7 linked regions of the Mus musculus genome follow. The protein of the gene in region 4 interacts with the protein of the main gene of each other region in a biochemical or structural test. Links are inferred from orthologs where the notes say so. Each region holds a gene or a part of one and is shown on either strand. Other genes may lie near its edges.

Region 1 (4,088 bases), on a different chromosome or scaffold from region 4:
ACCCTGCCATGGAACTATATTTCCAGGTCAGTGACCATTTATTTTACCCCAAAGAAATAAGAACTTAGGGCTGGTGAGATGGCTCAGTGGGTAAGAGTACCCGACTGCTCTTCCGAAGGTCTGGAGTTCAAATCCCAGCAACCACATGGTGGCTCACAACCATCTGTAACAAGATCTGACTCCCTCTTCTGGATTGTCTGAAGTCAGCTACAGTGTACTTAAACATAATAAATAGATAAATCTTTAAAAAAAAAAAAAAAAAAAAGAAAGAAGAACTTAAAGAACGTAAAGCTCTCCGACTAAGAAGAGACCCTGTTGGTCTTGGACTCACAGCTCCTTGAGCTCCTGAAGGCAGCCATGAGACTTTTAGGCTTCCAGTTACAAAAGTGCATTCATATCACCTCTCCTCTTCCTCCTCTTGGATGCACATGGGCTGCTCACCCTGATCCAATCATGGAAACTATACCTAATACCGTTTAGTATCCTGTCCCAGGTACTCATACAGACATTCCATAAACAGTGAGCATTCTCACTGTCCCAAGGGCTGTTCTCGGTGCAAAGAACAGAGGGAAGAAAAAGAAAGGTGGTTTGTCCCCTTGTCCCGTCGTACCACGCCCCCCGCCCCTCCAGTAACCTGCTCAGGAGAACAGAGGGTTCAGGGGACACTTCCAACTAGCCCGGTGTCCTTAGCTTTGTTCAACTGGTTCTTCTTGTCTTTTAAGGTCAATGGCTATCTCCTTGGTGTGATCTTTCTGGTAAACTAGCCTTCAAGGAAGCTTTCCCACCTCTGACTTGCACTTGCTGCCCTAGGCACATACAAAACCCCAGGTGGTCCTAAAATTTTCCGTGAGACTTAGCAATCTATAAGGTTAATATTAACCGCTAAGATGATTTAATAGACTGAAAACGCAGACAAATAAAGATCATTATAAAATGTAAGTACAAAAAAAAAAAAAAAAAAAAAAAGACCAAGATGAATTTTCTCTTGTACCTGCTGGCAGGCAGTTTTAGACATCCTTACTGACTAGGGAACCCTGGGTATGCTAATGAACAGCGCTGGGCTTCAGTCCCAACAACGGTGAGGGGAGATGGCCAGTCTGACATCCATCTTTATCTGACAGGGCTGTGATAAGTATTGGGAACCTGTGTGAGTGCTTAACACTTTTATCTTGTACCTGGGTGCTCAAAACACTTTAGCCACTCCCACGTTCCAAGGAGTAACCCCTCCCATTCGTTAACCTATCTTAGTGTTTAGCGATCCTTGGTGGAAGAATCTGTGGTTAAAAGTGGAACTTCCAATACACGGGCTTGTCACACTGTCTGGATGACCAAAATGAGAAGTAAGGGCGAACCCTAAGGGAAAAATGCTACAAAATGCTACAAAAGCAAAACAGGCACCTGGCCAACACCTTCTTTAAACAACTGTTGTCACTCCTTTCTCCACGAGAGAACCTTCTACCTGCTTCTTCGCCTGCGAAGCGAGGATGTGGCCATCACATCTGCCTGCAAGGTTCTAGATTCTAGGTGTAGTAACATTCCATAAACTGAGTCACTGCCTAGGAGTTCTGGACTCTCTAAAGTAAGTGACCTTAAACGACACCTCCGGCAAAACTGAGCGATACCCAATTCAGCGGGATTGAATAAATGAACTAACGCAAAGTATTTGGGACTGAGAACTTCAGAAGAGCCCTGACTACTGAGAATGACTTAATTACTAGCCTATTTTTCTTAAAGGTGGAGTGGAAAGAAACTAATAGTGGCTCAGAAACAGAAAGAACTGGGCTTTGTTAACCAGCATGATGACCGCGGGCAAGTCTGGGACCCTCTCCAAACCTTCCTTCCCGTGGCTGAAAAGTGAGAGAATTTTAAGAGAGGTTCCCTGGGCTCCTACCAGTTCTTCCACTTCGCTGTTAAGGCCGCCGAAACAAAGGCCACCAGCTCCCTAGTCTGTACCCGAGGGGCCACAACTCAAAATTCTTGCTGCTCAACTCCCTTTGCAGTGCGACAGCAGGAGCGCCCGGGTCTCCATCCAAGGCCGCCGCACTCTGCGGTCTCTGTCCACTCCATCAGTAACTTGCTTTTTGCAGCTGTTGCCCAAAGTTTTCCAGAGCGCCCGCAGACCCGGCTGTCAGTCAATCCCGAAAAGAGCGGGGGCGTGGGGGAGCCGAGCCCGGGAGCGCAGTCCGGGAAATCCCGAAGCCGCTCCAGTGGCCAGGCAGGGAGTGACAGGTGCGACGCGGGACGCCGGCGAAGACCGGACAAACCAGAGCGCGTGTGGGCGCGCGAGGGAGGCAGCCGCCTCGCTTTCTCCTCTGGCGGCACTCGCGACGCCCCCAGCCCCGCTTCGGGCCCCGCGGCGCCCACGACTCCTCAGCCACCGGGAGCCCTGCGTCACGACCCGGGCTCAGACTCTGGAGCCAGAAGAACTGGGAACCTCCCGGGCAGCCCGGCCCCCGCGGGTTCCTTCCCGCGCACGCCGGGGCGATCGCGGGGTGGGCGCACGCGCACCCGCGAGCGCCGCCGTAACCCCTTCCTCCCCGCGCGCCCCCCGCACTCCCACCCAGCCGCCGCCACTCACCGTCGATGTCCCCGAGAGTCAGCTCATCGCCCAGCTCCGTGAGGGTCTCCATGGTCTCCAGAACGCCCAGCTCGCTGCTCTCATCCATCGCCCAGCTTGGCGCAGAGTCCCCCGTGAGGTCCAGCTCAGGGAGACGCGGAGGCGGTACCGCCGCCACCGCCCATGACACCCGACAGCCCCCACCTGGTACCGCCTCACCGCCCCGTGCCAACCGCCGCCATGTTTGAGCTGCGCCCCGACTCCACGGAAGGGGCGGGGCAGAATTCCCCCGCCCCGGGCCGCGCCCACTGCAGCCCCGCCCCGAGCCTCCGCACCCCCAAGTTTGTTGTCAATGGGACCAGGCTTGCATTAGCCAATCGGCGCGCGAAGCGGCTCATGGGGTGATGGTGCGTCATCGATCAGCAGCTCAGATTTGCATAGCGGGACTCCGCCCCTCACGGCATCCAAGCGCCAGCGGAGAGTAGCCGCCGGGTCCTCGTCCCAGCCTTCTTCTGGCTTAAAGGAGCCGCTACTTTTCCGTTGGATCAGCTCCAGGAGCAACTTTGTCGAGAGCCCGGAAATAGAAGGGTTAACGCACCGCTGTCCGGCGCTACCTTCTACCACCGCCCCCTTTACTCTAGGAGCACATTACGTCATCTCCCCAGTTGCCTCTTCCCTCCCCCTAGCTCTGGGTAGAATCATAGTACCCTAACATTCTGGGATAGGCTATCCAGACCCTAAGTCACACTTATCCCATCCGAGACTTAACAGGGTCTTGAGATCACCTGAGTATTGTGAACATTTTACAACTGGCCCTCAATTTTGGGAAACCTCGATCATTCTAAGGCCTTCAGACAAGGTCATTTGTTCAATGGTCTCTCCAGGTGAGGCCCCACTCCTGCAGTCACCTCACTGCATCATCTTACAGGTAGTCGGTCACACTGCACACAAAGGTGCACGCTTCCAAGAACTTATCCGAAGAAACAAAAAGATTAGTGTTCCGAGGAATGCTATTAAGTACATGTATTCAAAGACATTCATCACAAAGTTCTCTAACGGGAAAACAGTAACACAGTAAGGCATCAGGTACATAAATTACCTCCAAACAGTAGAATATCAGGGCATCGTTAAAAAAAAGAAATGCTGGAATGGACATCTGAGAAAGGACCTAAGTGTATACTGAGAGGAAGAAGGTTTTCATGGCATACATAGGAAGAGCTTCTTGTGAGTCTGAGGCAGTTGTTCTTAGGGGGTCAGAGCTGAAGGCTCTGTGGGGAGACCTGCATATCCAATAAGCCACTTCCTGCTCCTGGGCTGGCTAAGCAACTGTTTGCTGATAAGCCTGGTTTGTCATCTTTAAAACAGCACAAGACCACAGTTGTCATTGTCACATTTATTTGATTTCCGTGGCAAGCAAACAGCTCTTAACTTCTGGGATGAAGTGTTCCAGCAGGCTCTGAGGGGGAAAGGGTCTCCAGTGAAGGTATTGCAGCTCTGAGAGGGAAAAAGATCCTGGCAATCAGGCGCCTGG
Region 2 (3,500 bases), on a different chromosome or scaffold from region 4:
GCCACCACCTACACCTCCTCACAGGCATTATTTGGAAAGAAACTGCTGACCCAGAATTAAGAGCATCTCCTCTGCACCCCTCTTTCTACCTCAAACGCACCTCTACTTGCCCAGATCCTCCTACATCAGAGATGGGAGTCCCCCCACTTTCCTACCTTTCTCTCTCTGGCTATTACCTAAAGTTCTCAGCAGGGGCTTTTACTGATCCCGCTGGACAGTGGGACCCTCTGCAGGGTGGCCACCCTCCTGTTTCCCACAGGGAGCATGCTCAGTTACAACCATGCTCCAGTCCCAGCCCACACAACGCCTCCTTCACACGCCCTCCTTAGAAACACATGATGGCTCCCTCTTATACACAAACCCAGGCTCCTTTCCTACTCCCTGGCACACATGTCTGTGTGCATGGGTGTGCTCACTCACACTTTCCTGTGAACTCTAATGTGCACTCTCCTCTCTCACTCTCTCTTTCAAATTATGTGTGTGATAAGCCCGAGTGTGCATGCCTGGTTCACATGAGTGCATATGTGTGTTCAAACGCACACTTGTCCATGTGCATGTGGGGGCTTAAAATTGGCATCTACTGTCTTCTTCAATGTTTTATTCTCTCTCTTATATGTTAAGGCAGGATCTCTCACAGAGCCCAGAGCTCAGTGTTTTGCTATTCTGGTTAGCCAGTTTGCTCTGATGATTCCCTGTCTCCGCCTCCCGAGTTCTGGGATTACAGGCAGGCCACTCTGCCCACCCAGATTTTAAGAGTATTCTAGAGATCCAAACTCTGGTATTCATTGGTTAGTCGCCAAGCACTTCAGCTGCCCAGCTACCTCCCTGCTCCTAGCCCCTGGTTTTCTCAGTAATGGATTCCTGTTCCCTAGAGTCCTGCAAGTGGATAGAGAGAGGCCAGTATCCATTTTATCTTAGCAGTGTACCCACAAGGCACCAGAGCTCTGCAAGTGGTCAGAGAGAGGCCAGTATCCATTTTATCTTAGCAGTGTACCCACAAGGCACCGGAGCTCTGGGATGCAATCCCCGCTTTGTTCAGCAACCACCCGCAGTGAACACTGTGAACACCATATGCTGGGGAGAAACCAGGGACATGGTCCCCGAGAACCAGCCTGAAGGCAGGCTCCAGAACGAGGGCCACTATGCCTAGTGGTAAGATATAGATAGGGTTTGCCAAAGGATGGGGAAAAACTAGCAGGAAACATTCCAGACCAAAGATCCAGTCTCCCCATACACAAGGTCAAAACAAGTCAGCATATATTCCCTGTAGTCCAAAAAGAGGAAGTAAAGGCAGAATGCCCCAGAGTTCCCTGAATGAGGATGACCAACCACTGCCATGTGAGAAGGGTGAAGCCTCACTCCTTTAACTAGCAAGGCCGTGTTCTCCATCTATCCAGAGTGAGAAGCACAGAACGGCTGGAGGAGAAGGGCTCGGGTTGGGTGTGACAGGGATTAAGAGGGACCATAGGGCCCTGGCCTTAAAGTCTGCAGCTTTCCCAGTCTGTTACAGAATGTACAGCTTTGACGGGATTCGTCATCGGGATGCTGAAGTGACCCGCTGTTCCAGCATCCTACCTCCTAAAGTTGCTTCCAGAGCATTGCTTCCAAAACAGCCTCAGAAGGTAGGGGGCTGGAACAGCAGGTCACTTCGGCATCCCAAGGATGCACCTTGTCAAAGCTGTACATTCTGTAACATGTGACTCTCACAACCAAAATCTTAGTACTCTTAAGATATTCGTATGGATTGTGCAAGGTGCACAGATCAGTTAAGGATGAATTTTGTTCCTTCCTTGAGCAGGTGAAAGACAACTGGCTTTTTATGAGTTAGTTTGATCAATAAACAATTGTAATAAAGCTTCATACTCGTGCCATGTGAAGGAGGTCATGAAGAATCTTAAGGATTCCACAACCAGTAAGATTTATTGTCTAAATTTAGCTGAAGTTTTGGCTAGAGACGTTTTTATGTCTAACTCAGTTATTGGGCTGTTCCCATGGCTCAGAGGCAGAGGGATCAGATTTAAGAGCTGCAGGAGAGAAACCATCCAGCAATGTAGGTGCGAAGGGAAGTGGCCCTAGGGGCTTCTCAGAAGGTAACAGGGCAGCAAAGATAAAATATAGATTTAGAAGGTGTTAAGCCAGGAACACCAGAGGGAAATGTGTGCTAACTTCAGGGATGTTCAGAAATGCCCAGTCACTGAGCTAGTTAAGGCATATCAAAATTAGCTTGTGTGTGTGTGTGTGTGTGTGTGTGTGTGTGTGTGTGTTCATTCGTGAATGAGCTCTTGAGCTGATACAGCAGTATGCACCGTCCACCAAGAGCCAAAGCTGTTGAACCGTTACACCAGTCAATAGAACTTCTGTAAGTCCAGTGGTAGGGAGTTCTCTTTGGGAATCACCAGGACAGGGAAGCTGCTGTGTACCCAGGAAGCCTCTATGGAGCACAAAGAAGGCCAATTACACCTGCAGTGGGCCACCCCTCCCCCACAGAGGGAGAACCTGTCTGCTCTGCTGACATCTGCCCTGTGACCCTCTCAGCCTTCTGTCCTGTCTGACCACTAGCCAGCTCTCATTCAGCCCTACTTTCTGTCTGCGGCTGCAGGGAGCGAGCGGCAGGAAGACTTAACCCAGGATCTCTAGGCTGCTGACCCTGAGCCAGTCGTGGCCACTCATTCCTCTGGCGAGGTGACCACTCATGAATGCCTAGCCAATAAAAGGGTAGGAAAGCCCCACTGGGGGAATTCTGGGGAATGGTTCACTTGCTCAAACAGGCTGGGGATGTGGCAGAGTCTTTACGGTGCTCAGGCCTAGGGACCTAAGTTCAGATCCCCAACGCGACATAAAAGCCTGACCCAGCACATGCCCCTGCAGTCCCAGGGCTAGGGAGGTAGAGAAAAGCAGAACTCCAGAGCTCACTGGCCAGCAGCCTAGATAAACCAATGAGCCCCAGGATCAGGGAAGAGACCCTGCCTCAAAAAATAAGGTGGGGTGGGGAACGATTGAAGACGGTGTTCAGTATCAACCTATGGCATGTGTGCACACACATGTATACACATACATGAATAAAAAAATGGGCACACTCAATTAAAGGGAAAGGAGCACAGCTACCTAACTCCTGCTCTCTGTCTGAAATATTATTATCCATTGTCATGTCTATGGCACAGACTATATGCAGTGGCCCCCATCGGCTCACATGTAGGACACTTAATCCCTAGTTGGTGGCATATTTTGGGATCTTTCTGGAACCTTTTTCAAGTGGGGGCCTCTTTGGAGGAAGCAGGTCCCAGAGGGCTTACGCTCCATGGGTGCCGGAATGTACGTTCCTTACCATTTTTATGGGCCAGCGCCTGGTCAATGAAATCTGTGGCCCTTTCAAAGTAAGCACTGAGGTTGAACTCCTGCGTATCATTGGCCTTGATGCCCAAGTAGGTGATGCCAGAATCCTCGTAGAAGCTAGCACTGGTGTTGACGTGCATGAAGGACCTGCCCTCGGCAGCATTCAG
Region 3 (3,966 bases), about 30 Mb from region 4:
CTGTGTGTGTGTGTGTGTAAAAGCCAACTGTTTACTCCAGAAATGTAGTGGATGTAGAAGGAGGCTGTACTGGAAGCATAAGTTATTTTGATTGGCTGTTTCAAGTAGGAGGGCTAAACTTCTTTCTACAGTGGGAGAGGCTTCCAGGCACACCAAGCTGTTGCTTGATGTGTCAGATGCCCTAGGGGCTGGAGCCAAAGGGAATGTGTGTGAGAAGGAGGCTGAGGTCACCAGAGGACCCAAGACTGCTAAGGAGTTTAAAAGGGTAAAATCTGTGTTTAACACAAGCCTCCAAACTTGGCTTATTCTGAGCTAACTCTGTTCTAAAAAATACTCAAGAGCTAGGTCATAAAGAGAATCTTCGTAAGTCTGTATCTTCATCCAGTCCTGAGTCAAAGTAGCAACGAGTATCGACTTTTTTTTTACAAGCTATTTCAAAAAACAAAGTTCCAAAGATCTCTAAAGTAGTATTTCTGTTTGTTTTCTCAAATTCAAGGATGACCTGAACTTCTAATCCTCCTTCCCCCTCCCCCTTGGAATGCTGGGATTACAGCCTTGTGCCACCCAGCACTTGTTTATGATGTACTCGGATAAAACCCAGGACATCTTGTATGCTAAGCAAACGTTCTATCAACTATGCTACATTCCTTTCTAATCTGAAATCTTTATTTTATTTTTTTAAACTGGACACTATTTCAGCGGCAGGTCATGTAGTCTGGATTGGCCTTGAGCTCACTAAGCAGTCCAGGATGATCTTGAACGCCTGCCACTCCAGCCTCCATCTTCCAGATACTGGATGCATGCTCATGCCTGTAGGCGTGAACAACCACCCCACCCAATCCCGACAAAGTCACCCCACACAATTTTCTTAACTATTATTGTGTATATGAGAGACTGTGTGAGTGTACGCGACACCACAGCGTGAGTGTGTAGGTCAGAACTCTTCTTCCATCTTTATATGGGTTCCAGAGGATCAAACATAAGTCAACAGGCTTAAGGGACACTGCTTTTACCCATTAAGCCATCTTGAAGTTGTGTGCATCCATGATGGGCACGCGCGTGCGTGCGTGCGTGTGTGTGTGTGTGTGTGTGTGTGTGTGTGTTGTTTGGTATGCAAATGAGAGACAGGGTCTCAAGTAGCAAGCTAGGCTGGTTTTGAACCTCTGATCCTCCTGTCTCTTGTTTCCCAAGTGTAAGTGCTGGCAGTTCAAGCCTAGGCTACAGCAACAGGCAACAGAACAAAACAAAAGAAAAAGCTCCTAGTAATTAAAATATTTTACTCATATCAACTCCCCCCCCCAAATGAGCTTTCAAGCTTAAACACCCCTACTATATTACTGTATGCCAAATCTCTGTCCATTTTCAAAAGGCATGCACTAAATCCTTAGATTCCCTGCCCTTCCCCCTGCCCCCTCTTCCCAGCAAGCAAGTGACCTAAGTCAGAGCCTGGTTTCATTGACACACTTGCACTCCCCAACAACACTTCCTTTGAAAAACAGAATGTCACTTCCTCAGTCCAGAGGCCAGAAGTCCCTTGATTCTGATCTGGGGAGTAGAGACAGGAAACTCTGGTAAGCTTCTGTCCCCCATGGCCAGCCACTAGTGCAGCTGACAGAGGGCAGGGTCTGTTGGGAGCTCCCTTGATGCACTGCAGCTGGAAGCGACCGCTCACTTCCAGGCTGTGGGAGTGATTTCTCAGAGTCCAGCACTCCCAGGCAGCAGAACAAGGACGATTCTTGGCAAGTGGAGAGCGAGAAGATGGGAGGACCTGCACTCCTTTAACGGACTTTCCGTTTCTAAACTCCTCAGACTACCCCAATCTCGGATCCTGGCACCATTTTGTTCTCTGAGCTCGGTAGACAAGAAGTGGGTGCCCCGACCCCAACTGCCAGTTTCTCACGTAGAGGGGACGGCCCGTCCCACCAATTTCACTACACACAGCCAGCTCGCACCACCTAGCAATTCAGAGCCACATCTTCAGACCCCAGACACCAGACGACACAAAACTCTGGCCAGTTATTGAGGACCAAACTGCAGTGTCACCCCGTGGGGCGGAGGACCGCGGTGTGTGTGTGTGGGGGGGGGGGGTATGTGAGAAACATTCGGAATAATGGGAAAGAAGGGGGACAAACAAATGAGTCACTTAATACAAGCGCTGCACATGCCGCTGACGCTGCCCGTGATGTAGTGGCCGCAGACTGGAAGGAAGCAAGGCGGCCACCGGGGAGGGGCGGACAGAGAAAGGGACCGGGAGAGGGGCGCCGGCGCCTCGCCCTTTGTGGGCCCGGGGCCGCGCGGCCCCTCAGCCTACCCTCCCGATCGGGGCGACTCGGCTCCTTCGGCCCCGGGCGTTTTACTCTCCCGGTCGCCCGGAACAATCGCTCCAAACTTCGGCTCGGCGAGCGAGGAGTTCTCGGGGAGGCAGGCGGCAGCCGCAGCCCCGACCTGCGCCCCGCCCCTCGGCGGCGCACCTGTGACAGGTGTGAGGCGCCCCACTCGCGCCCGCCGCTCTCGCCCTCGGAGGCCGCGGGGCCCCGGCTCGCCGCGCCCGGCCTCTCTCAGCGCCCCCATCTCCGAGGCCGCGGGACAGCCCCCGGCCGCCCTCCCGCCGGGCCGCGCCCGCTCGCCCGCTCGCCTCACTCACATAGCGCCTCAACTTCTTCTCGGGAGGCGATTTCCTCAGCCAGCCGGTACACACCACGTCGTCGCCGCCGCCGCCGCTCATGTCGCCGGCTAAACTGGAGCCCGCCGCCGGCTCGCGCGGACAAGGGCGCGGGCGCGGGCTGCTGGGTCAGCCGGCTGCCGGTGCGCGGCTCGCGGGGGAGGGGAGGGGCCCGGCAGCCCCGGGGCGAGGACGAGGCAGTGAGGCGCGCGGGCCCGGCTGCCTGCGCGCGCTCGAGTTCCACCCCCCCCCCCCGCCCTCCGGCCGCGCGCGCGCGCGCGCACACACACACACACACAGCCCCACCAGGGCGCCTCAGCAGGCGGGCGCTCGCCACGCCCACAGCCCCGCGAGGTCCCCGAGGGCAGCCGGCGCAGAGGCCAGTTAGCCTGGACCCCACAGGCCCGGAGGCCGTGAGACGAGCTGTCGCCAGCAGCTGCGTCCTCAGGGTCTTGGTGGCTGTTGTTGGTTTTTTCCCCCCTCTAAGCCTGGAGCTGCAGGCGGGGTCGTGAAGACCTCTGGGTGGTGCCGGTGCTAGGGTGAGGGAAGGCCAGAGGCTATCCACCCTAGGTCGAACGTTGAGCCTATGCTCAACCCCTCTTCCCCAGCGTCGTGGAAGAGTAGGACAGAGATCCAAGGACTGCTCCGGTTTCCTGTCCATTCCCACAGTTTCAGGTTTCAGTAAGTCCGATTCTGGCTGAAATGAGTCCTGCTTCACTGTAAGTTAACTCTCACATCTCTAGGCCAGAGAAGCAGCAAACAGACATACTGTGTGCTGGGAGCTTACTGCATTCACCTTCCACAGCGATTATCTTCACTGCCTTACAAATTGGATAGGTCATAATTATACCCATTTTACAGATAGCCTGAAGCCACACAGCTGACACAATGCAGGCCTTTCTAATCCAGGTGTTTTGGGAGGAGGGGAGGGGAATCTTCTCTCCTGTTTTTTTTTTTTTTTCCCAGAGTGACATTACTGCAGTAATGTCTGTAGATCAAAGGGTGCTTGGGGGGGGGGTGTGGGGGGACTGGACGGGACTAGATCTTATTGCTGAGAAACAAAGTCCAGCTGGCGCTCTCCCATAGTGCCTCTGGGAAAACTGAATCCAGTAAAAGGAAACTGTAAGTTTTGCAGAACACAATGAATTGGAAAACAAGGAGGTATAAAAGAACAAGAAATTGTGATAAAAATGTCCAGAGTTTCCACTCATTGACTTTATAAGAGATCTCTCCTATATAAATGTGAATATAGAGATCTTTTTCTCACTGGCTTGTGCTGAGAGGGTTGAGATAAAGGACCAGGA
Region 4 (4,056 bases):
TCCTTTTATACTTGAAGGTAAAACAAAGATTAAGCAAAAACAAATGGCTTATCTTTGGAAGAATAGTCAGGAGCTGGGTAGAGCACCTCACTCCTATAATCTCAGCACTTGGGAGGCAGGGGCTAGAGGATTGCCTAGAAGTTTAAAGCCAGTCTGGTCTACAAAGTTAGCCTGAGGCCAACCAGGGATACACTGTGAAACTTTCTTAAAAAAAAAAAAAAAAAAACTGAAGTCTGAACTGTCTTCTATAGAAGACATGTAAACTGGGGCTGGTGTCACCCCCAAGGCAAAGGCAGTTGGATCCCTGTGAGCTCAGGGCTAGCCTGATCTACATAGCAAGACCCCTTTCTCAAAAAGAAGAAACGAGGGAATAAGCACCTGCAGATATATACACACAGGGACCAACCCTGCTGCTTTATAAATGTGCAAGTCTAGAGATGCAGAGACCTGCTGAAGGTCATGCAGCAAGACGGGAGTATGTCGATTTCCTGTGGTCAGAGTTGCAGAGGCTGTAGAACAAATCCTGGCATTGGGAGGGGTGGGTAGGGAAAAGGCCATGGGTGCTACCGTCTGCTAACAATGGAGCCAGGCAGGAAGTAGATATGGACAATGAACTGGATGTCTGAACTAGGCAAGTAGTGTCAAGCAAGGGCAACAAGGGCTGGACTAACCTCCCTGGTCAAGGTACAAGTCCACAGGTGATCAGGGTGGGGCTCTCAGAAAGGTGGGAAGGCTCCAGGGAAGCCAACTGGGGGAGAAGAGGAAGCTACTAACAGGAACTGCCGAATTCAGGCAGACTCTCAGGGCCCCTCACCCTTCCTTGAGCCCCCGGCCTAGCCAGGGGCAGGAGTGCAAAGGCTTGGCTCCACCCTGTGACTCTAGGGTCCTCAGGTTCCCCCTCTTAACAATACAATGTGGTTTGAAAGCCTCCACTGCCTCCATGTTGGATTAAGTATCGCCCACTCCCCTTCCCCCTAGAAGGCACTGCAAAACTTAACACAGAGGAGCCTCGGTTTCCTTATCTTTGAAATGGACACAGTAAAACTCATCCGTCACACAGGGAAGCTAGAAGGTTGAATTAGAACCAAAGCACTAGGCCTGCCCAATACCGGTTTTCTTCTTTGCTTTCCATCCAGTGTGAGGTCTCTAAAGAAAGAATCGTGAGTCTGTTGAGCAAGAACAGGCTGTGGGCAGAGACTGGGTCATGTCACAGACCTGCAGATGTCAGAAGACAAAGCTCCCATAGAGATCGTTTTTTCCACAGCATTCTCCCTCCCCACACACCATACTGGGGCACAGAGCAGAAAGGGATGTGTTCAAGGCCACTCCACTTGGCTGCGACAGACCAGGATCCAAGGCCTGCCAGTGTGCTCTCATGCTCTGTAGACTCTCTGCTAAAAAGTTACTTTGCTGGGGTTTTTTTTTTTTGGAGGGTAGTACAAAAGATGACCACAGACAACAGAGCCAAGCTCCCTAGCTTTACTCTGGGGCTGTGGCTAAGGTGAAGGATACACATCTCTCATGGCTTCCAGGGTGGGCGCTCTGAGGATGTCTCGGATGCCTATAACATTCTCATGGCGGAATCGCAGCAAGATCTGGATCTCCCTCAGCGTGCGCTGACAGTAGGTTTGATGCTCAAAGGGGCTGATCTTCTTGATGGCCACTCTGGTCTTGCGCACGTGGTCATAAGCTGAGCTGAGAGGGCCAGAGAGATGTGGCCTTACAAAGGGGGAATCCAGGCCTGTTGGCCCCACCCAGGTCTTGGCAGGGACTGGAGAGAGGAGGAGAGGGTTCTGGCCAAATGTAAACAATGCTGGCTCCTTCCTGCTGTGAAGGCCTGGGATCTCCAGGGGAAAGCTGGGTATCAGCCAGGCAGCCTTTCAGTGACTTCACAAACAGAGGAAGAGAGTGGCCACTCACCGACTTCCTTTCTCCTGGACCCTCTTACATTCTAGTTGCCCTCACCCTCCTCCCCTTTCCCAAGCTGGACTCTCTCAATCCCAGACAGGTCCAGGGGATAGGAGTTAAATGGAGAAAGTAGATGAAGCCTAGAGGATTCAGTAATGGGACAGGAGAGAAGAGATAAGGAGGGGCAGGCAGGTCTCCCTGTGCGGTTCCTGGGTCAGAGCTGCTCCCATAGGAACAAAGGCCCAGAGCAGAGCACACAGTGGGGCAGCGAGAACTCACAAACCCGTATACCACAAAATAAGGCACATTCTAGAGACCCTTCCCTACTTTGGGCCCCTAGCCTTGCCAGGGGCAGAGGTGCAAAGGTTTGCCCCACCCTGAGCTTTGCTCTCCTCTCTCAAACTCTCTGTCACAGCCTCATCAGGGGGGAACCAAGGCTCCCACTACCTGCTCGTGGGTCCCTCACTCCCCCTTCATCCTCTTAGCTCCACCTTTATCTCTAGGGTCCCCCAGGTGCCCCTCCCTTAACAATACAAGGTGGCTTCAAAGCCTCCAACCCCCCTCCCTGGAGAAAGTAGCGCCTAGTCCTCCAGAAGTCACTGCACGATACTTCCCCTGCGACACTCCCTGAGCCCCCCATGTCCCGAGCACACACCTGCTGTCCCTGCTCCGAAGCCCCCTCCCGGGACGCCCCCTCACCTGACCATGCCGTACGCGCCCTCGCCGATGTACTGCAGCTGCGTGTAGCGTGGGCCCACATCGAATGGCTGCCCCTTCACCACCTCCACCTCCCCGGGGACCACCGGGACGACCCCAGCAGTTCCCCTGGGCTCCCCGCCCCCGCCCCCCGGAGCCGCCGCCGCCGCCGCCATCTCCACTCCTCCCGCCTCCCCCCGCTGCCCCGCCCGCGGCCCCGCCCCTCCCTACCGCCCTGTCACCGCGGGGCCGCGCGCCAGGCTCCGCCCCCGCCCCCGCGCGTCCCGCCCCCGCGCCTGCCGGGCGAGCCTGCGCGGGCCCGAGACGTCACATGGTCTCCTGGGCGCGCACCCGGCTTTCCCGCCTAGTTACGCTGTTCCTTCCCTGCCTTGGCCACTAGGGTACTTTAGTCTGCCAAGAGAGTTCTGCAGCCCCAGGGGCCAGTGGCCCTCAGTAATGCTAAGGGAACCCACCCGGCTTACAGTTAACCTTTGAAGACCTGCCTCACATCTTTGTTTCATTTAAACAGATAGTGGTAATCCAGGCTAGCCCCAAAGGCTCTCTATGTGGTGGAGGTTGGCCTTGAACACATCCTCCTGCCTTTAGGCCTGAGCCATCATACAGATTCAGGATGCTACTAGGCAAGCATCCTACCACTGAGCCACATCTCCATCCTTTCTTTTCTCTCTCTCTTTCTTTTTTAAGAGGGTCTCTTGACATGGAACTGGCTGTTCCAGAACTCACTATGTAGACTAGGTAACCAGGCTGGCCTCAACATACTAACTCGCCAGTGCTAGGATTAGTTAGAAGCTGTATGTATCACCATGCCCAGCTTCCATAATTTCTTATTCGTTTATTTGCCACATTTATTAATTTTGTGTGTTGGAGCGTAAGTATGTCACAGAGCCTGTGTGGAGGTCAGAGGACATCTGATTCCTTCCACCATGTGGGTCCCAGGTGTCCAATTCAGGCTGTCAGACTTGGTAGGAGTGGGCCACCCTGAGTTGCTGAGGGAGTATATCTTACGTTTTATAATGAGGAAGCAATCTGGAGGGTGGTGGACGGCAGGCAGCACTGTGAAGCTGTGAAGTCGGTCCTGACTCCAGTGTGAAGACACAGGCCTGCAGGGGGGCTCAGGTGTGTGCTGAGGCCCCAGTGTCGTACAAATCCTCTGCCTGATTGCCCAGAGGACGTGCAACCCAGCTCACTTCACGGGAGAAGGAGGGAAAGGGTGGTAGCTGTGGACAAAGGTAACTAAATCAATTTAAATTCACTGTCACCTTTTCTCTGTCTCTGTCTGTCTCTGTCTTTCTGTCCCCCCCTCCCCCCACGCTGGGCTGGTAAGATGGTTGGGTAGGTAAAGATGCTTGCCAAGCAAGCCCAAAGATCTGAGTTGGATCTCTGGGACCTTCACAATGGAAGTAGAGAATTAGCTCCTGCAGGTTTTCCTCC
Region 5 (3,500 bases), on a different chromosome or scaffold from region 4:
AAGGTAAGAAGGGTCCAGCATGGGCTAACCCGTGTGATGGCACTGTCTTGGCTACTTTCTTACTGCAGAGATAAAACACCATGACCAAAGCAACTCGTAAAACAAAGTGTTTAGCAGGTTTACGGTTTCAAAGGGTTAGCAGCCATGATGGCGGAGCAAAGGCTCAGTGGCAGGAACATTTGAGAGCTCACATCTTGAGCCACAGCTAGGAATCAGAGGGGCTGGGGCACACACTGGCACTCACACTCGAAACATCGATGTCTACCCCTCAGTGACACACGTCCTCCAACAAAGCCACATTTCCTAATCATTCCTGAAAAGCTCCACCGACTGGGGACCAAGCATTCAAATCCATGACCCTCTGGGACCATTCTCATTCAAACCACCACTGTGTATGAGGTACATCAGTGGCACCAACAGGGAGGGCAGCTGTTTACCTGGTGCTTTCAAGGATCAGGTAGGAAGTACCTTAAGCTGCCCTGGCCTTGAAGTCTCTGTCACAACTATTCAGCACCTTTGTGGTGGTATGGAAACATTACAGAAGATGCAGGAGAGACAAGAGGGCCCATCCCACAGTTGATTTACCCAACTCTGAGGCTGGATTTGGACCCTAGGCCATAACCAGTCAATTTAGGAGGATGTGCCCTTGAAAGCAAGCACAAAAAGATTACTTGGGGCATTCTGAGGGCATCTTCTGGGTGGAAGAAGAGGGGAATTGGATGGCAACTCTGTGGCAGTAAGAAGGGAATGCTCTGAGGACAGCTCAGATAGCAGCATGGTATCTGGTTTCACACAAACCAGGTCTAGGGAGTTAGCATGGTTGGTAAAGTACTTGCCTTGCACTGGCCCTGAATGTAATCCCTGGGACCTATATTAAATGAAAAACTGTGCATTGTGATATGACCTTGTAACCTCGGGGCCAGGGAGGCAGAGTCAGGAGGATGTCTGGGTGTCAGCAAAGCTGGCTTGGTGAAGTTCCAGGCTAGAGAGAGAAAGAGACCCTGACTCAAAAGAAGAAAAAAAGGAGAAGGTGCCTGAGGAATGACACCTGAGTTTATCCTTTGGCTTCCACGCACATAGAGGACATAGACACGTATGCATGCAAAGTAGCTCACACACATGCACCTGCATCCCTATGAACACAAATCAACAAAACACGGCATTTCCCCCGACTTTTAAAACTGTTGAGCCTGTTTCTAAGCTCTTTCAACAAATTGCAAACTCAGACCCATGCTGAATGAAAAAGACCCTGTTATGCGGTGACCAGACCAGTCAGCAGCAGCTGGACTCAAGATCTTGGGCTAGGAGGTCAGGAACTCCAGCTTCACAGTGTGGGCAGCCTGCTTTGGGCAGGTCTCTGCTAGCTTTCTGTACTTTGTTATTCTTGCTTGAGAATAGGGGCCGCAAGCTTTTGTGAGTGACTCCTGACAGAGAGATGAGGTGGTACAAGCCAAGTCCTAAGCGCTCTCCTGCTCCTAGAACTCCTTGAGAGACAGTGGCTGCTGCCTACTGTTGCTCAGCACCTGTGTCATCAGGCAGCCATGTTGTGACACATGCCTTTCTGCTGTCACTCATCTTTTACCTTCTGTGTTCCTCTCTTAGCTGCCCAACCTTCTGCAGATGTTTTGAAGTACACGTATGAGGATTTCAAAAGGGGAGCCTCGGATACTTATGTCACATACCTCATAAGAATAGAAGAGAAGGGACAGTCTCAGGGCTTGTCTGAAGTCTTGAACTATGAAATTGATGTGGGGAACCAATCCACTACCCTCGGCTACTACAACGGGAGGCTGGAGCCTCTGGGCTCCTACCGGTAATATCTGGGTCCTTGCAGTTGCCTTCTGAGCCTCGTGAATGTCAGGTTGTGTACTATGAGGTAAATACACCTCAGTCACCTTATTTTCTCCTTTGCCTCCCCACAGGGCTTGTGTTGCTGGCTTTACCAATATTACCTACAACCTTCAGAATGACGGCCTCATCAATGGGGATGAGAGCTATGTGTCTTTCAGTCCATATTCAGAGGCCGTGTTCTTGCCCCAGGACCCAGGTAGAGTGAAACAAAAGCCCTGATGTGGATTTTGTGTCTTGTGTCTGCAGAAACTTGCTGACCATGCCCCTCTCTCAGGTGGCTTGGAGGGTGGAGGATTTTGGCTCTCTGAAATTGACATGTCCCTTGGTCTTTGGGGTCAGCCTAGCTCCCCACTCTGGGGTGCTTGAAGGAACAGCTCCCCACTTCTCCTCTAAACTGGTCACACTTCTTCAGATTACTTAGTCCTTTGCTTTCTAGGAGTCATTTGTGGGCTTGTGTGAGTTAGTTAAGAGTCCTTGAATTAGAAGGAGCCACAGGAATTGTCTTGTCTAAGCTCTGCTTAGAAAGAAGGCTTTTAAGGCTTAGAGAGGGGGTGTGCCCAGTGTTACACAGTGGCTTAAATGCAGTTCTGAAATTCTAGCCTTAAACTCCTTGTGAGGTGTTCTTCCTACTCAAGATCACAGAGCTAGATATGTGGGGATCTCAGGTAGCTGACTGGTCTGTTAGCCTGCTTTTCAGAGCTACTGAGTCGAACAGATTACCCAGAATCGAATTTCAGGGCGTTCCTGCTCCTTCTCTTAAATAGCTCCCAAAAAGGGTGGGCATGGTGTTGTAGGTAGTTTTGCTCATAGGTGACAAGAAAAACCAGTGATCTAGCTGGCTCAGGTCCCCACATTTGCAGCAGAACAGAGACCTAGGTCAGGGCTCTGCTGTTTCCAGGACTATCCTTCAAATGGGTGAAGGGAGAAGAAATCAGCCCTGAAAGTTGTTCTACTTTTTCATCCAAAGATATTTACTTGTTCGCTGTGTGCACACACTCCCTCTCTCCCTGAATCCTGCATGGGCAGGCTGGCTGTGTGTGTAGCACATGGCCCTTCGTGAACACCCATTGAAATCCCACTGTTGGGGTCTTCCCCAGGTGTCATCTGCGGAGCAGTGTTTGGATGTATCTTTGGTGCCCTGGCCATCACAGCTGTGGGAGGCTTCATCTTCTGGAGAAAGAAAAGGTGATATTGCTTATTAATCATCAGGTGCTATTGTTGAAGGGAACTTTCTATTATATGGAATGGCAACCGTATGTATAATCAGAGGGAAGAGTTGAAAGAGCCCCTGTGTTCTTCACAGTGTCACCACCTGGCCAGTCCTCTTTCCTCTCTGACCTCCTCCCATCTGCGTCAGTCCTACACTGACTTGCTGGATGCGACTTTCAAGTCAGGATTCTATGAATGTGTTAAGAGTTTCATAGGGTTTTAGAGTTGGGCAAGTTTGAACTCAGGTTCCATCCTTGCTCGTGGTTGGAAGCCCTGACACTCTGTGGTGTGGGAATGAGTCCCCGGCTTAAGGAGCTGAGGACACTGACAAATGTCTCACTCCATGACAACATTATTCATCGTTCTCTTTGTACCACCACCCTGTGGTGTAGTTAACTAGTGAGAACAGTGCTGTGTACCTGGATTTGTTGTCACCCTGA
Region 6 (3,500 bases), on a different chromosome or scaffold from region 4:
GTGGCTGTTTGTAAACTACATTTTGGCACGAGTAACTTACAAACGTCCTGTTTCTTTACTTTTGGGGCTCTGTGTTTTTGTTGCTTGTTGGGTGCAGGGAGTAAGGTCTATTGATGAGAGTTCAATGACAAAAGAATCTCACAGCAGAAGTTCTCACGGGCAATGGGCATGACACTCGTCCTGAACACAGTGGATGGGCTTGTACTTGACCCCACAGCTGCCAGAGATGAACAGTTTCTCAACCACCTTACATATCTTCAGACTCACAGGCTTTGAACTTAATGAAACTCCACTTCTTTGAAATGTAGATGGGCAGCTAATGGTGAAATTTGGGAGCTTGGCTCTCTGTTCTCAATCACATGATCCTTGTTTTGCAGTATGGTACACAGTGACTGTGATTTAGCAATACAAACTCTAGCCGTGATGCCCTAAGGCAGTGGTTCTCAACTTTCCTAATGCTCGGATGACCCTAATGCTAGGATGCTATGATGTTGTGATGACCCTCCCCCCAACCATGAAATTATATTCGTTGCTACTTCATAACTGTAATTTTGCTACTGTTGTGAATAGTAATACAAACATTTCATATTCAGGATATCTGATCTGGGACCCTGGTGGGGGTCACAACCCACAGGCTGAGAACCACTGCCCCAAGTCTTCCCAAAAGCACATTATTTGTCTGGGCCACAGACCTGTAAAAATCAGAGCCAGGAACATCATCTAGAAAGGGCTGTCACTAAAGTCTTATAGGGAAATCCATGCTAGGAGCCTGCTGTTTGCATCTATTGGAAGTCGAGGCATCTTAAAGTCAAGGGATGATGTGTTTGGGGTTGAATGTGTCCACCAAGGTATTGATTCTGGGATGTGTCAGGAATATGGCAAAATGCTGACCCATTCTCTTGTTCCTTGACACTTTCAGTCCCAGCAGCTGTCACCAATCTGAGGATCACAGAGAACTCCAGTAGATACCTGTCCTTCGGCTGGACCGCCTCGGAGGGTGAACTCAGCTGGTACAACATCTTCCTCTACAACCCAGACAGGACTCTTCAGGAGCGAGCTCAAGTTGACCCGCTAGTCCAGAGCTTCTCTTTCCAGAACTTGCTACAAGGCAGAATGTACAAGATGGTGATTGTCACTCACAGTGGGGAGCTGTCCAATGAGTCATTTATATTCGGCAGAACAGGTAAGACCCAGGCCCAAACAGTAAGGGATTGCCAGGGAGGTGTCACAGTATCCACCGGCTCAGCCTTGGTTGTTCATCCTTCCCAATTCTGTCCAGAGTGGACCTTTATATGAATGTGTGACCTTGAAACTTTGACTCTAACTCAGACTAGGTATGAGTTGTGTCTTCTTATTCTAGTGGCTATCGTTCCTATTTAGTTATCTGGTGGGGTTCATGAAAAATTAACCCAATTCCTCTACTTGCCAGCAAACTATTCAAAATAGGGTGGTAACCATCATAGCTCTAGTCAAAGTATGTCCAGCAACTTCCTACAAGTAATAGATTGTGGTCGGGGCAGGTCCACAGAAGGTCAACTTTGTATCTACAAATCACACACACACACAAATGCATGTATGCATGCTCACACTGAGCTCTAGTTAAAATGAACAAGATTTCCAGGAAACCAGGATACAGAAATCTCTCTGGGCTGTAAATGAGTTGAATTTTTCCAACTTCTTCATCGTTTGGCAATTGCTTTTCAGTGCTTTGAGGTGCCAGGTACATGACTCCTGGAAAATCGAAATGACCAAGAAAGATAAGCTCCTGACCTTAGACAGCCTCGTGATAGAGGAGAGAAGAGGGTTGATGTCTTAGGATTTCCATTGCTGAGAAGAGACACCATGACCAAGACAACTCTTACAAGGACGACATTTAATTGGAGTTGGCTAACAGGTTCAGAGGTTCAGTCCATTATCATCATGGCAGGAAGTATGGCAGCATACAGGCAGGCATGAAGCTAGAGAAGGAATTGAGAGTTCTGGCACCTTGATTGGAAGGCAGCCAGGAGAAGATTGACTCTTCTGCACTGGGAGGGGCTTCAAAGCCCACCCTCACAGTGACACATGTCCCCTAACAAGCTCACACCTCTTAACAGTACCACTCCCTATGGGCCAAGGCAATTCAAGCTACCACAGTTGGGATAGAAGATTTTAAAGGGAGATGACTTTTTTTTTTAAAGATTTATTTATTTTTTTATTATATGTAAGTACACTGTAGCTGTCTTCAGACACACCAGAAGAGGGAGTCAGATCTCGTTACGGATGGTTGTGAGCCACCATGTGGTTGCCGGGATTTGAACTCAGGACCTTCAGAAGAGCAGTCGGGTGCTCTTACCTGTTGAGCCATCTCACCAGCCCCGGGAGATGACTTTGAAACACCTTAAATTCCATGAAATGAGCATGTCTAGACCATGGCTTAGCAGAACAGGACATTACTTTAAACAGAGGACATTTCAGCTGAGACCAGAAGGTGAGAAGAGAAATGCAAAGAAAGTATGCCAAGGACGTTCAATGAAAAGTGTCTACTTGTCCCCCAAGGGAGCTGAAAAAGAGCCATGACAACCCTCGACCACAAACCGCATTGCCTAGATCTTAAGACTGTTACCTCTATGCTTGGTCAGGAGAACTTGAACCATTAATAAACAGAAGATGGGAGATGTGTGTATCCATGGTGGTACACAGCTTAACCCGCAACACTCAGGAGACTGCAGAGAGCCGAGCGAGTTTAAGAATTTCAGCTACACAGAAAGATTCCATATTAGAGAGGGGAAAAAAAGAGTCCCCAACAAGTCCTCATTATCCAAAGAATACCAGCTTAAATCAAATACCTATGGAGCAGGTAGTGTTGTGTAGGGCAATTCCCCCTAGTTATTAGATTGACTGATAAAGATGACAAGAAGCCAGTCACTGGGCAAAGATGTGAAGGCAGATCAGGAAGAGAAAGGAAGAAGAGAAGGGTGAGATGAGATGGAGGCCAGGGAGAGACAAGATAAAGGGAGAAGGAGATGAAGATAGAGCTGACCCACAAGGCCTGGACAAGCCACAAGTGGCTAGGGATTTCATAGATGGGCAGTAGAGTAATGTAGGGTACATTTGCCCAATTTAGGGGTACAGCTTGAATTCATATCAATTGAGTTCTGTGTTCTTTTTTATTTGGGGGTTGGAGATTTACCATTATAAATCTGGCTGATAAAAGTCTCCAGTGTTATTATTTTCTGGGGCTAAGGGGACTGAATGAGGGCTCCAGGCATTTCAGGAAAGAGTGGTTTGGTCAGCTTAGCAAGTGGAGATGGAGAGAGCTAGCTCGGGAGCAGGTTTTTGATCGGAGTGGCTTGGCAGCAGGCTGGCCACGGGAATCAGGGCAAGATGGCCATAGGGGCTGGGTGAGACCGCAGACGACAGCTATTAGTGGAATTTAGTGTGGCTCATTTTTTTAAAACTACGGGCAACAGTGTTGTGGCTGGTTTATATCATCGTAGAAAGGGCTCTGAGTGCTTCTT
Region 7 (3,500 bases), on a different chromosome or scaffold from region 4:
CATTCTGACTCTTCTCCCCCTGCCCCTAACCTAAACTTTTCCAGTTTATAATCTTCCCTCCCTAAGCTTATCATTCCCACGTAACCCTGCCATTTAGACAGGTGCTCTCTTGCCTCTCATATTTATCTTTCTCACTTTCTACCCCATTCTCTCTCCTGTTATGGCCAAGTCCAATCTACTGGTTGTTATTTAGTCTACTTTCTCTCCTTGCTCTGAACTCTTCAGTGCCTCTGGCTGTACCTTACCTCATTTTATTTTATTTTTTATTTTTTGTTTTTCGAGACAGGGTTTCTCTGTGCAGCCCTGGCTGTCCTGCAACTCACTCTGTAGACCAGGTTGAGCTCCAACTCAGAAATTTCCCTGCCTCCGCCTCCCGAGTACTGGGATTAAAGGTGTGCACCACCAAGCCCGGCTGTACCCTACCTCTTTATCTACAATAAAAACCTTCCCCTCAACTACACCTTGGAGAAGTCATAGTCCTGTTCTTAACTTTATCTCAAAACCCTCATTTTATTTATATACTCCCTATGTGGGGTTAAATAGACACATGTGCCAGGTGTGGTGGCACACCTTTAATCCCAGCACTTGACAGGCAGAAGCAGGTGGATTTCTTAGTTGGAGGCCAGCCTGGTCTACAAAGTGAGTTCCAGGACAGCCAGGGCTATACAGAGAAACCATGTCTCAAAAAACTAAAAAAAAAAAAAAAAAAGACACATGTACTTATTATACCTCCTCAGGAAAAGTCTGTCACAAAACATGGGATTACAGACACGTGTGACTACAACTGTCACTCTCTTTCTCTTCAGACACAACAGAAGACAACTTGGGATACCATTACAGATGGTTGTGAGCCATCATGTGGTTGCTGGGAATTGAACTCAGGACCTCTGGAAGAACTGTCAGTGCTCTTAACCACTGAACCATCTCTCCAGTCCTCTCCTATCATTTTTTCCTCATATTTTTATAAGAAAGAAAAAAAAAGTAAAAGAAAAATTCTATAATCAAGAAAATGAACTCACCTTCCCTCACTGTCTTTGCAATAGGGGCATGTACATGCTTCCCGACGAGTCCTGCGTCCAGCTTGGGGTTGGAGATCAGAGCTATTCTCTCCTTCTCCACCTGCTGTCTCATCATGTATCCCATCACCACCAGATCCATGAAGACCAAGTTGAGTTCCATGATCACCTGAAATAAAAAGACAAGGAGAAAGGTGAAAAGGCAGGACTAAATAGCTACCGAAATTTCACAACAGAGTCAGCCACGACTGGCTCTTTTTTTTTTTTTTCCCGTGGAGCACACTTTTAATCCCAGCACTCAGGAGGAAGAGGCAGGTGGATTTCTGAGTTCGAGGCCAGCCTGGTCTATACAGTGAGTTCCAGGACAGCCAGGGCTATACAGAGAAACCCTGTCTCAAAAAAACAAAAAACAAAACAAAACAAAAAAAGCGTGTGCCACCAACTGCCCGGCTCTAACTTTTAACTACAGTTCTTCCATGAGTGATATGTGTAGGATGCTTGTCTAAATCAAAGGACAACTTTTGGCAATCGGCTTTCTTTCTACCACATGGGTTCCAGTAACCAACCTCAGGCTGTCAGCCTTGACAGCAAGTGCCTTTACCTGCTGAGCCATCTCACTAGCTCATAACACACCATTTCTTCAAGATCTGTGTGTGTGTCTCTGTCTCTCTCTGAGATTTATTTATTTTATGTATATGAGTACACCACTGCTCTCTTCATGCACACCAGAAGAGGGCATCAGATCCCATTACATAAGGTTGTGAGCCACCATGTGGTTGCTAGGAACTTAACTCAGGACACAGACAGTGCTCTTAACTGCTGAGCCATCTCTCCAGTCCCGTCTCTCTCTCTCTTACTTTAATCTGACATAAGGTCATGCTATATTTGCCCAGGATGACCTTGAAGTCCTAGGTTCAAGCAATCTTCTGACTCAACCTCCTGAATAAGTACCTGAAAGACTGCCAAGGGACTACAGGTTTAAGTTTACATAGCAGTTCCAGGATGACCTTGGCTAAAGAGTGATACTCATGCCAAATACGAAGCCAAAATGACATCAATATCATTCTGGAATCTTTTCTCCACCCCTTTTAATAATAGTTTTAGAACAGTTTACTCTTAAAACATGGTACTACTAGTTAAGCAATGAGATAAATTAAAGATTGGCCTTCCTGTGATGAAAGTAGATAGGAAACCAGAGGCACAGTGTAATGACAGTCTTGGCCAAACCCAACTGTTGCCTCTAGCATCAATTTCTGAAACAACTATGGATGTTAAACATCTTTTCAGTTTCTTCTAAGTAAAGAAGTGTGGCTAAAGCCACAACCTTCCAAGATCACTAAGAGTCAAAACCTTATTCTTTGGGGAGAAAAAAAAAAATCTTGGGAATTACTAAAGTATGATGAAGACATCATGAACATCAAGAACTGTAAAGCAAAAACAAAACACCTTCTAGAACTGATCCGAGGGCCTCCACACAATAGACAAGTATTCTACCATTCAAAAAGCTAGTTTCTATATATTTCTAAAAACTCCAATTAGGCTTCTAGATTCCCATCTCTCATCTTGCTGTGAAAAACACGACAAAAACAAAAAAACAAAACAAAAAAACAAACAAACTTGGAAATTAAAGGGTTCACTTCATCTTACAACTCTTAGGCCATACTCCATCCTGACAGGGCAGAATGAGGCAAGAACCAAGAGGCAAGATTGACTTAATCTCCAAGGCTTCGTCATCCTGCTTACACCATACCCAGCTCCCACTGTGCTGGGTCCTCCCATATCAAGTATTAATCAAGAAACCTACAGACTTGTCTACAAGTGCCTTTAATCCCAGCACCTGGGAGGCAGAGGCAGGCAGATTTCTGAGTTTGAGGCCAACCTGGTCTACAGAGTGAGTTCCAGGACAGCCAGGGCTACACAGAGAAACCCTGTCTTGAGAAAAAGAAAAAAAAAAAAAAAAAAAAAGAAAAGAAAGACACACCAGAAGAGGGCACCAGATCCCATTACAGATGGTTGTGAGGCCACCATGTGGTTGCTGGGAATTGAACTCAGGACCTCTGGAAGGGAAACTAGTGTTCTTAACCTCTGAGCCAACTCTCCAGCCCCAGGACCTAGTTCTTATAATAGGTCTCTTAACAATCTTATAGTCCTTAGTCTGTAACTTCAGCTCCTGGGTATCCAACACCTTCTGGCTTACACACACACACACACACACACACACACAAACACACACACACACACACAGAGGTAGACGTACAAGTACACATAATTTTTTTACTTCCTCCCTTCATGTTTATCTCTCTCTCTCTCTCACACACACACACACATACACATACACATTTATATACACACACCAACACAGAAACACAAGATTTCAATATGGAGGCCTGGAACTTAGTGATTCACCAGCTTCTGCCTCCCTCATACCAGTATTAAAAGCATGTCCAAGCCTGGCGGTGGTGGCACACGCCTTTAGTCCCAGCA

What was found.
Region 1: of the proteins of Mapk3 (region 4) and Srebf2, one has a biochemical effect on the other in vitro, tested with the Homo sapiens proteins (2 studies listed by BioGRID). The link is inferred for Mus musculus from reciprocal best matches to the Homo sapiens genes MAPK3 and SREBF2.
Region 2: of the proteins of Mapk3 (region 4) and Dusp3, one has a biochemical effect on the other in vitro, tested with the Homo sapiens proteins (2 studies listed by BioGRID and IntAct). The link is inferred for Mus musculus from reciprocal best matches to the Homo sapiens genes MAPK3 and DUSP3.
Region 3: of the proteins of Mapk3 (region 4) and Gab2, one has a biochemical effect on the other in vitro, tested with the Homo sapiens proteins (2 studies listed by BioGRID). The link is inferred for Mus musculus from reciprocal best matches to the Homo sapiens genes MAPK3 and GAB2.
Region 5: of the proteins of Mapk3 (region 4) and Ptprj, one has a biochemical effect on the other in vitro, tested with the Homo sapiens proteins (2 studies listed by IntAct, with this or other methods). The link is inferred for Mus musculus from reciprocal best matches to the Homo sapiens genes MAPK3 and PTPRJ.
Region 6: of the proteins of Mapk3 (region 4) and Ptprb, one has a biochemical effect on the other in vitro, tested with the Homo sapiens proteins (2 studies listed by IntAct). The link is inferred for Mus musculus from reciprocal best matches to the Homo sapiens genes MAPK3 and PTPRB.
Region 7: of the proteins of Mapk3 (region 4) and Sp1, one has a biochemical effect on the other in vitro, tested with the Homo sapiens proteins (2 studies listed by BioGRID). The link is inferred for Mus musculus from reciprocal best matches to the Homo sapiens genes MAPK3 and SP1.

The regions. Positions count from the first base shown.
Region 1 is NC_000081.6:82,145,981-82,150,068, reverse strand, and holds the start of Srebf2 (sterol regulatory element-binding protein 2), read right to left. Parts: upstream 2,801-4,088; 5' UTR 2,667-2,800; coding exon 2,579-2,666; intron 2,520-2,578; exon of another isoform or gene 1,892-2,519; intron 1-1,891.
Region 2 is NC_000077.6:101,978,292-101,981,791, forward strand, and holds part of Dusp3 (dual specificity protein phosphatase 3), read right to left. Parts: coding exon 3,326-3,500; intron 1-3,325. UniProt on the Homo sapiens protein: Shows activity both for tyrosine-protein phosphate and serine-protein phosphate, but displays a strong preference toward phosphotyrosines. Specifically dephosphorylates and inactivates ERK1 and ERK2.
Region 3 is NC_000073.6:97,080,585-97,084,550, reverse strand, and holds the start of Gab2 (GRB2-associated-binding protein 2), read right to left. Parts: upstream 2,801-3,966; 5' UTR 2,726-2,800; coding exon 2,645-2,725; intron 1-2,644. UniProt on the Homo sapiens protein: Adapter protein which acts downstream of several membrane receptors including cytokine, antigen, hormone, cell matrix and growth factor receptors to regulate multiple signaling pathways.
Region 4 is NC_000073.6:126,758,370-126,762,425, reverse strand, and holds the start of Mapk3 (mitogen-activated protein kinase 3), read right to left. Parts: upstream 2,801-4,056; 5' UTR 2,781-2,800; coding exon 2,608-2,780; intron 1,696-2,607; coding exon 1,513-1,695; intron 1-1,512.
Region 5 is NC_000068.7:90,451,596-90,455,095, reverse strand, and holds part of Ptprj (receptor-type tyrosine-protein phosphatase eta isoform 1 precursor), read left to right. Parts: coding exon 1-3; intron 4-1,602; coding exon 1,603-1,813; intron 1,814-1,922; coding exon 1,923-2,047; intron 2,048-2,948; coding exon 2,949-3,036; intron 3,037-3,500. UniProt on the Homo sapiens protein: Tyrosine phosphatase which dephosphorylates or contributes to the dephosphorylation of CTNND1, FLT3, PDGFRB, MET, KDR, LYN, SRC, MAPK1, MAPK3, EGFR, TJP1, OCLN, PIK3R1 and PIK3R2. Plays a role in cell adhesion, migration, proliferation and differentiation.
Region 6 is NC_000076.6:116,342,874-116,346,373, forward strand, and holds part of Ptprb (receptor-type tyrosine-protein phosphatase beta precursor), read left to right. Parts: intron 1-919; coding exon 920-1,183; intron 1,184-3,500. UniProt on the Homo sapiens protein: Plays an important role in blood vessel remodeling and angiogenesis. Not necessary for the initial formation of blood vessels, but is essential for their maintenance and remodeling. Can induce dephosphorylation of TEK/TIE2, CDH5/VE-cadherin and KDR/VEGFR-2.
Region 7 is NC_000081.6:102,423,316-102,426,815, reverse strand, and holds part of Sp1 (transcription factor Sp1), read right to left. Parts: intron 1,186-3,500; coding exon 1,020-1,185; intron 1-1,019. UniProt on the Homo sapiens protein: Transcription factor that can activate or repress transcription in response to physiological and pathological stimuli.